Rhinolophus ferrumequinum: one gene and its partner. The protein of the gene in region 1 interacts with the protein of each later gene in a pairwise test. Links are inferred from orthologs where the notes say so. Each region holds a gene or a part of one and is shown in the gene's direction. Other genes may lie near its edges.

Region 1 (3,744 bases):
TTCATAAATAACAAAAAATGGAAAGCAACCCAAATGTCCATCAACTGGTGAATAAATAAACAAAGTGTTCTATGCAATATTACTCAGCCATAAAAAGGAATGACATTAATATATGTAGCAACATGGACGAATCTCAAAAACATAAGAGAAACAAGTAAACACAAGACTACGTACTGTACAACTTCATTTATATGGAACTCTAGAAAAGGCAGAATTATAATAACAGAAACCAGATTCGCGGTTGCTTGGGTTGGGATAGGGGAAAGAGATGGACTGCAAGTGAGCGTTTTAGGGCGCAGGAATCTTCTGTCTTGATTGTGGTGGTGGTAACATAATTGTATATAATTACCAAAATGCACCAGCCTGCACACTTAAAATGGGTGAATTTTATTGTAGGTCAATAATAATTAAGTATAAATTTTAAGTAAAAAAACTCCACACCTAGATACATCATGGGTAGGCTTACGCAAACCAACAGTGAAAAGAAAAGTCTTCAAGGCAGCCAGATACACAACAGACAGAACAAAAATAACTACAGCTGTCTTCCCTTTAGAAACTCTGTAATCCAGAAGGGAATGGAGTAAAATCTTTAAAGTACCGAATGAAAGAAAACGACCAGAATTCTATAGTTGTTGACACGATCTTTCAAATGTGAAGGTGCAATATAGACTTTCAGACAAACAAAAGGTGAGGGCATTCATTGCCAGCTGACCTGTGCTAAAAGATTCAATAAAGGACGGTCTTCAGACAGGAGCCTGACACCAGATGGAAATTTCGATCTACACTAGCAATGAAGAGCATTGAAAATGGTGGGGGGGAGAAAAAGTAAATAGAAGCTATAAAGGTATGCATTAGAAGAACTAGGAACAGACCACACGCTTCCAGATTGCTAGAAGGCTTTCTGCAGTGCACCTGTGCGGGGTGGATGGAACACAGGTGGGACGGAAGCACAGACAACCTGGCACAACGAGCGCTGGCGCCACCGTTTGGCTCTCACCTCCCTGGGAGTTAGGGAGGCTGGCACACGCTGACCCTACTTTACAGGAACAGAAACGGTATCTCAGAGAAGACGAGTTCCTGCTGTACTTCACCAGGAAGCCGCATTAAGTAACAGGATTGGGCGTTTTCTATTCCGTGTTGTTTGAGTTAACTTGGTCCCCTTGGAATCTGTGAAACAGGCAGCACAAGTCTTGGAAGTGGCGTCGCTGTGAACCAGCCCTGGCGGTCCCCTCTAACACGCGGCGAGCACCTTCCTGCTCCCCGAGGCCGTTGGGAGGGTCCAGGGAGAGGACGCCACCAGCCCACTCGCAGCGAGGCAGTGGGCAGGGCAGACCCCCGCCCAGCGTGCGCGCGCAGCAGGCGGGCAGGGGGCGGAGCGCCGCGGCGCGTCCGTTGCTAAGGCCGCGCCGCCCTGGCGACCGAGCGCTCGCGGCCCCGCGCACGCGCCCTGACCGACTCCGGTGCACTGTGGGATGGAAACCCGAACGGCGCGTCTGGGCAGGAGCAGGCGGCGGCGGCGGGGCCGGAGCGGCGGGAGAGCGGGGCTTGGACTCGGCGGGCCGGCGGGAGCGCGGGCGGCGCCGCCATGAACGCGGCGGTGGTGAAGCGGACGCAGGAGGCTCTGGGGAAGGTGATTCGGAGGCCGCCGCTGACGGAGAAGCTGCTGAGCAAGCCCCCGTTCCGCTACCTGCACGACATCATCACGGAGGTGGGTGCGGCTCCCGGGTCGGGGCTCGGGTGCGGGGAGCGGGTCGGGACCGAGGGCGCGGGCGGGGTCAGGGTCGGGGCCGGAGTGAGGGCCAGGGGTCAGGGCCCAGGTGGGAGTCGGGGCCCAGGTGCGGGTCGCGGATGAGGGTTGTGGTGCGAGCCGGTATCAGGGCCCAGATGGGGGTCCCGGCCCTGGTGCGGGTCGAGGTCGGGGCCCAGGTGTGGGCTGGGGCCCGAATCAGGGCTAGCGTCAAGGTCGGGCCTCACGTAGCTGTGCGCAGCTCCTGCCCGGGAGCCTGCCTGGCCTGCGGCCCAAGGGGTGACCGTGGGCCCAAGTCGGTGATGCCTCTGCGAGGTGTTCATCACCCTCACCCCTGCTCTTCCTTCTCATCCATCCCTGCACCTCCTTTTCTGGGGAGTCTCCCGGCCCCTCTCAGGGAGCATTATATCTTTCCAGCCTACCTGTGTATCTGTTAGAGCACATACTCTGTTCTGCCTGCCAGAGCTGTTTTGTGGTTCTTTTCCTTCAGTGCCTAGCACGCCCCCTCCCCTCCAGGTTTTCCTCCGCAGGGCTCTGCACACTGGTCACCACATATTGGATGTTTAATGGACACCTGTGGTTGTAGGGGAACCGGAAAGGGAAACTATAGAAGAGCAGGTTAGTATCTGCTGATAAACGGCACAGCCTGCCTTCAGTTGAGATTGGTTGTTGACTTTTCCCCAGTGGAAGGTGAATTCCTCAATGACGGGGACCGTAACTGTTTTGTTGGCATGTCCCGGGTGGCACTGGGTACGGTACACAGAAGGGGCACAACAAACAGTCACTGTTGAGTGGAATCTGTCAAGGCTTCTGGCTCAGGGAGGCGGTGCCGGTTCCTATGGTGCATCTCAGGTGGGTATTGAACTTGGAAACTAGGGTGTACTCCTTGGGAGTTAGGAATCAGGCTGAGCTTGGAGACTGCCGGGGCTCCTGATCTCTCTCCACGGTGGTCCTCGAGCTTCATTTCTCACTCTTTCCAATAGGCTGGACACTTTACTCTTCCACAAACTTTGCTTTACTCATTTCTGTGATCTTAACTTAGTTTCTAATGTGTGCCTCTGTGTTAAAAACCCCAATTGTGCTGAAAACTTTCTGGAATCCCACCCACATCCCAAGGGCTGTCTGGCCTGGCCTCTTCCTCCTGCAGCTAGTCCCCAGCACTTCCAGCTGCTCTGGACAGTGTCTGCGGAAGGGACGTGGCTGTGTGGGGAGCCCAGTGGGTGCTGGGCCGCGTGCTGCGTCACCTCTGCCCTGTGCGGTAGGCAGGTAGCGTGCTCTAACCCAGGAGGGAACAGGTAGTCACCAGGACATGGGCCTGGCTGAGCACAGCGGCTGCCGCCACGGCCTCATGCTCTCATCTTCTGTGTTGGTCCTGTGAGCCCACTGAAAAGCGAGTCAGGAAGGGAGTGGGGGGACATGCCTCATCCTGTGGGACTTGGTGTGCTCTGGGCAGACATATTCGAATGCATTTTCAGATAATAGGTGGAGAGCCTTGTATGAAAATTCTTTACTGCCCCGGAGGGTTGTATTCAAGCCACCATCTTAGTATTTTAGCTACAGCTAAACCAACTTTGCCTCTTTCATGAATCAAAGCACTGGTCTTGTGACATCAGTATCTCTTGTCACTTAAAATTATTGCTGACAGTTTTAACTGCCAACGAACTGGGAAAACCTTGAAAGAAACAAGGGAAAAGTTGCCAGGAATATAAAGTGTAGGCTACTCTTAATATTCCACCTGTCTTCTCAGGAAAAATAGTAGCATAGCTCTTAATTAATTAAAAATAGTAGCCCAGCTCTTAGGTAGTTTGATGAGGAATGAAAGCTAGCTCAGTTCATAGCTTGCTGTAGCTTCGTCTCAGAGAAGCCTGCTATTAGCATGCGACTGTCCTCGTTTTTAAACACGGCTGGCAGTGATACATATGCTTTGTATCCACCCAGGACACACACATATACAGGTGTACTCATCCTTGCTACACACACTGCAGTCTGACTTTTCT
Region 2 (3,744 bases), on another chromosome or scaffold:
GGACAGTGAGGAGAGAAGGTCATCTTCCACGCCCTGAGCACAGCTGTCTTGCCCTGACCTTCCCCGGGAGTGACAGAGCCCGCTGTGTGTGGTGGCCTCATACCCAGAGTGTGCGGGGGCAGGGGTTGGCTTGCAATCAGTCCCAGTGTCCTATATTCTGTTGCAGTGACTGGAGGGCAGACAGGCTCAGCTGGCCTGCGTCTGGCTTCCGACTTGACACTGAGCCCCTCAAACAGGCCTCATATTCTTCTGTAGTTGTTTTATTGGGACATAATTCACAGAACAGAATGCAGCACTTCTCACTGTACACTTAAGTGGCTTTAGGACAGTCAAGAGTTTGTGCATCCGTTACCGCTAAATCTAAGACGTTTGTGTGCATCATTCCGAAAGGAAACTGTCTGCATTGGCAGTCACTAAATTCTGGCGGCCACCAGTCTGCGTTCTGTCTGTGGACTCACCTGTTCCGGACGGTTCATGCAGATGGAGCTGTCAGTGTGTCTGGCTTCTCTCACTGAGTGTGTTTTGCAGTTCTTCGGTGTTGTAGTGGGTCAGAAGGTCATGACACCCCATTGTGTGCGGGCACCCCTCTTGCTTTCTGCTCACCCGCCGGCGGACACTTGGGTTTCTCCCACCTTTGGCGACTGGGAGTAGTGCTGAGTGAACACTCATGGACGCACCTCTGGGAGGACATGTGGTCATTATGTTCAGGGGCTGAATTCTCTGGGTCACGTGTCTTGCCTTCCTTCCTTAGGAGTGTGAACGGGCCTGTGCGTCTGCAGGTGCTGAGTCGATGGGCCAAGCTGAGGACGAGGCTGGTGGGCAGTGGTGGACAATGGGGGGGCGTCCGCCTACAGCAGAGGAGCAGCAGGGGCAGCTGCCAGCCCAGGTGACCCGGGTGCTCACGATTCTTACCTGGGCCCGTGGGTTTGGGATCTGGGGGTGGCAGGTGGGAGAGGTTTGTCACAGAGTGGACGGGTGTGCAGGGCAGGCTGGCTGTGTCTGCTTTCCTGCTTGGTTTTGTTTTCATGTCTCGTGTTGGGACTTTGAGAGGGAGGGACATTGTGGACACCTGTTGACCACAGTTCAGGCCAGGTGCCAGGGACCCTCCCTGCACGGCCAGCCTGTTCCCTAGCCGCTGCTCATCCCACTCCATATGTGTCCGTGCTGTGGGACGGGAAGCCGCCTCAGCTCGCCATGTCCCCACAGCCAGCGGCCGCCCTGGAGCTGGAGGCGCTGCGCCTGAGCCTGAGCAACATGCACGTGGCACGGCTGGAGCTGGCACAGGCGCATCTGCAGCGGGAGAAGGACAGCGCGCTGACCGAGCTGCGGGACATGCTCAACGGCCGGCACGCCCAGGAGCTGGCCCTGCTGCACAGCAGGCAGCAGCTGCAGCTGGAGGAGCTGGCACGGCGCTACCACCAGGAGACAGGTACATGCCTGCTGGCCGCCGTTGGAAACACATGGGGGAGCAGGTGGCCTGCAGAGGTGCCCCGGGCGAGGCGTTCCCACCCGAAGCTGCGTGGTGCGTTCCACGGGGCGCCTGCTCTGGGCACTGGCCCCTGGGCCTCCTGGCTGGCAGGCTCCGCATGTCCTTATCCTTCTCTGCTGTCCCCTCGCCTTTCATCCATTTGTCCAGTGGGTTTGTGTTAACTTTGAAATGATGTTGTTGGAGGTAGTTTGCTCTCGTGCTGCAGGTTTCTGTCTCTGCACCTTTGGTGGGACCGTGTCTGGCCTACCTGGATGCTCATGGACACAACCCCACGTCTCACAGGCTCCTTACCCTGCACCCCACGGCACTCCTGTCCCCTGATTCTCTGGCCAACCCCAAGCTCTGTACGTCTAAGATGTATTTCATGTTTTCATTTTAACGTGTCTGGTACATTTTTTGTTAAAGTGCTCACTAATTTTTGTAAACACTGGGTTTCTAAAGCCTAGCGTCACCAAGCAGTGGTACACCTGTTTACAGTGCACACTTGAGTGGCCTTCTGTGTGTCACAGACTTGTGCTGACATCACATTGTCTAGTTCAGAGCGCTCATCACCCCGAAAGGCAGCCTGTGCCCGTTAGCAGCCCCCCGCTTTTCTGCTGGCACGAGTACCTGCTTATCTACCTGCTGGGGTTCTCCTTTGAGCTGTGAGGGCCCCAGGCGGGCTCTGGCAGTGTGAGAAGCCCTGCTCCTTACCTGTGGGCCCACCCCCACTGGAGAGCACATCTCAGGTCCTCGTGCCGTCCCATGTGTCCTCATGTGGGTTCAAACAAACGGAAATAATGTCGTTTTACACCCCTGATTTTGTTTATTTTTTAAAATACAAAACATGGTGTGCCTCAGGCCCCTTCCGATGCTGTCTCCTCCAGGTACACCTGAGAATGAGTCCACGAGGCCCACACCTGCCCTCTGCTCCGTGAGGCTCGGCCGGGGTGGGGTTTGTCCTCAGAGGGTGGCAAGTGGCCCTTGGCCTTAAGTCGGGACTTGCTCAGGCTGCCCTCACTGCATGCGTGGCACCAGCTGCCGCCTGGTGCCACCTCTCCCCAGCTCCACCCTGGCCTTTCCTGAGGCTCCAGCCATGTCCGCCTGGCACCCTGATTGCCAGGTGTACACCCCCCTCTCAGGCCACATCTGCCGCCTGCACCCCAGGCCAGCAGCGTCCTGCTCCTCCACCCACAACCCCTGGGCCTCTGCCCTTGTGCGGCCTCCCTGGGGGCTGGGGGTTGTTGCACCCTAGAACATCTCTCCCTGCCTTGGCTTACTTGTGCTCCGACTCCTCATCTGGAACCTGGCCCCATGTGAAGCGGACAGGCTGGGGTCCCACCAGGAAGAGGCGGCCTCAGCGTCCTCAGTGACCTGTGCAGCCCCCGAGCTCACTGGCCTGTCATGCTGGCTGGGAGGCCCGCTGGCCTTGGTTTGGCCAGGAATACAGTTTGTTAATTAAAGCAGACATCGTCATGCTCTTGCTCCCTCACAGGTGTGTCCTGTTGTCCCATTGATGCTGGCGGGTGCTTTTGTTGAGTGGCAGTGGGCGTTGGGAACCCTCTCATCTCCTGGGGGAGGAGATTGTGGAAAAGTCTGAGACGCGGTGATCTGAGTGACTGTTTTTCTTGCAGCTGAGCTGAAGGAGAAGTTACAATCAGAAACGGAGAAAAATGCCCAGATAACAGAGGTGTGTATGATCAGAAAATGTCGTTCTGCGTACGCAGTGCTCTTCCCTTTCTCCCTATCCCGCCACCCTGGAGCCCTACACCAAAGCCCCTATGTTGGCTCAGGCAGAAGCCAGGCAGCTTTGGCGATGTGCTGTAGAAAAGTGTTGCGTTGTCAAAATTCAGAGGTGAAGTGTTCTTCTTGTGCAGTTTAAAATTGGCAAATGGCTTGTTGTGTCATACGAGGCCCTTGCTCCCAAGTCTGCTTTTCTCAGTGGCCCTTGCTGTGCTCACGCAGGGTGTGGACTGAGCGAGACGTGTGGGGAGGGTGTTGGGGCGCCTGGGGACCTCAGAGGGAGAGGTGTGCCTGGGGGGACCGCCTGGCCGCAGGGTCCACGCCTGTGAGGGCCGTGGTTGGCCCCATTCACAGTGCTGACCACACCGCATGGCCTGCCACTGTCCTGCTGCTCTCACCCACACCCCCTTTTGGGGGAAAGAGCTGTGTTTCGCGTATAATACAATCAGTTCTTCCCTGGGGAAGTCTTTCACTGGGACTTCTGATCCTCCTGGACTGTCCCATTCTCAGGGCTGTTTGTGGAGGGGCCGTTG

Evidence for each region. The genes of interacting proteins can lie anywhere in the genome.
Region 2: the proteins of TRAF3IP1 (region 1) and PCNT interact in a two-hybrid assay, tested with the Homo sapiens proteins (2 studies listed by BioGRID and IntAct). The link is inferred for Rhinolophus ferrumequinum from reciprocal best matches to the Homo sapiens genes TRAF3IP1 and PCNT.

What each region holds. Positions count from the first base shown.
Region 1 is NC_046291.1:2,182,155-2,185,898, reverse strand, and holds the start of TRAF3IP1 (TRAF3-interacting protein 1), read left to right. Parts: upstream 1-1,481; 5' UTR 1,482-1,585; coding exon 1,586-1,708; intron 1,709-3,744.
Region 2 is NC_046285.1:109,018,329-109,022,072, forward strand, and holds the start of PCNT (pericentrin), read left to right. Parts: upstream 1-1,054; 5' UTR 1,055-1,082; coding exon of another isoform or gene 1,083-1,132; 5' UTR 1,133-1,194; coding exon 1,195-1,429; intron 1,430-3,102; coding exon 3,103-3,158; intron 3,159-3,744. Other genes in the region: pericentrin, read left to right, coding at 752-920, 1,083-1,132. UniProt on the Homo sapiens protein: Integral component of the filamentous matrix of the centrosome involved in the initial establishment of organized microtubule arrays in both mitosis and meiosis. Plays a role, together with DISC1, in the microtubule network formation.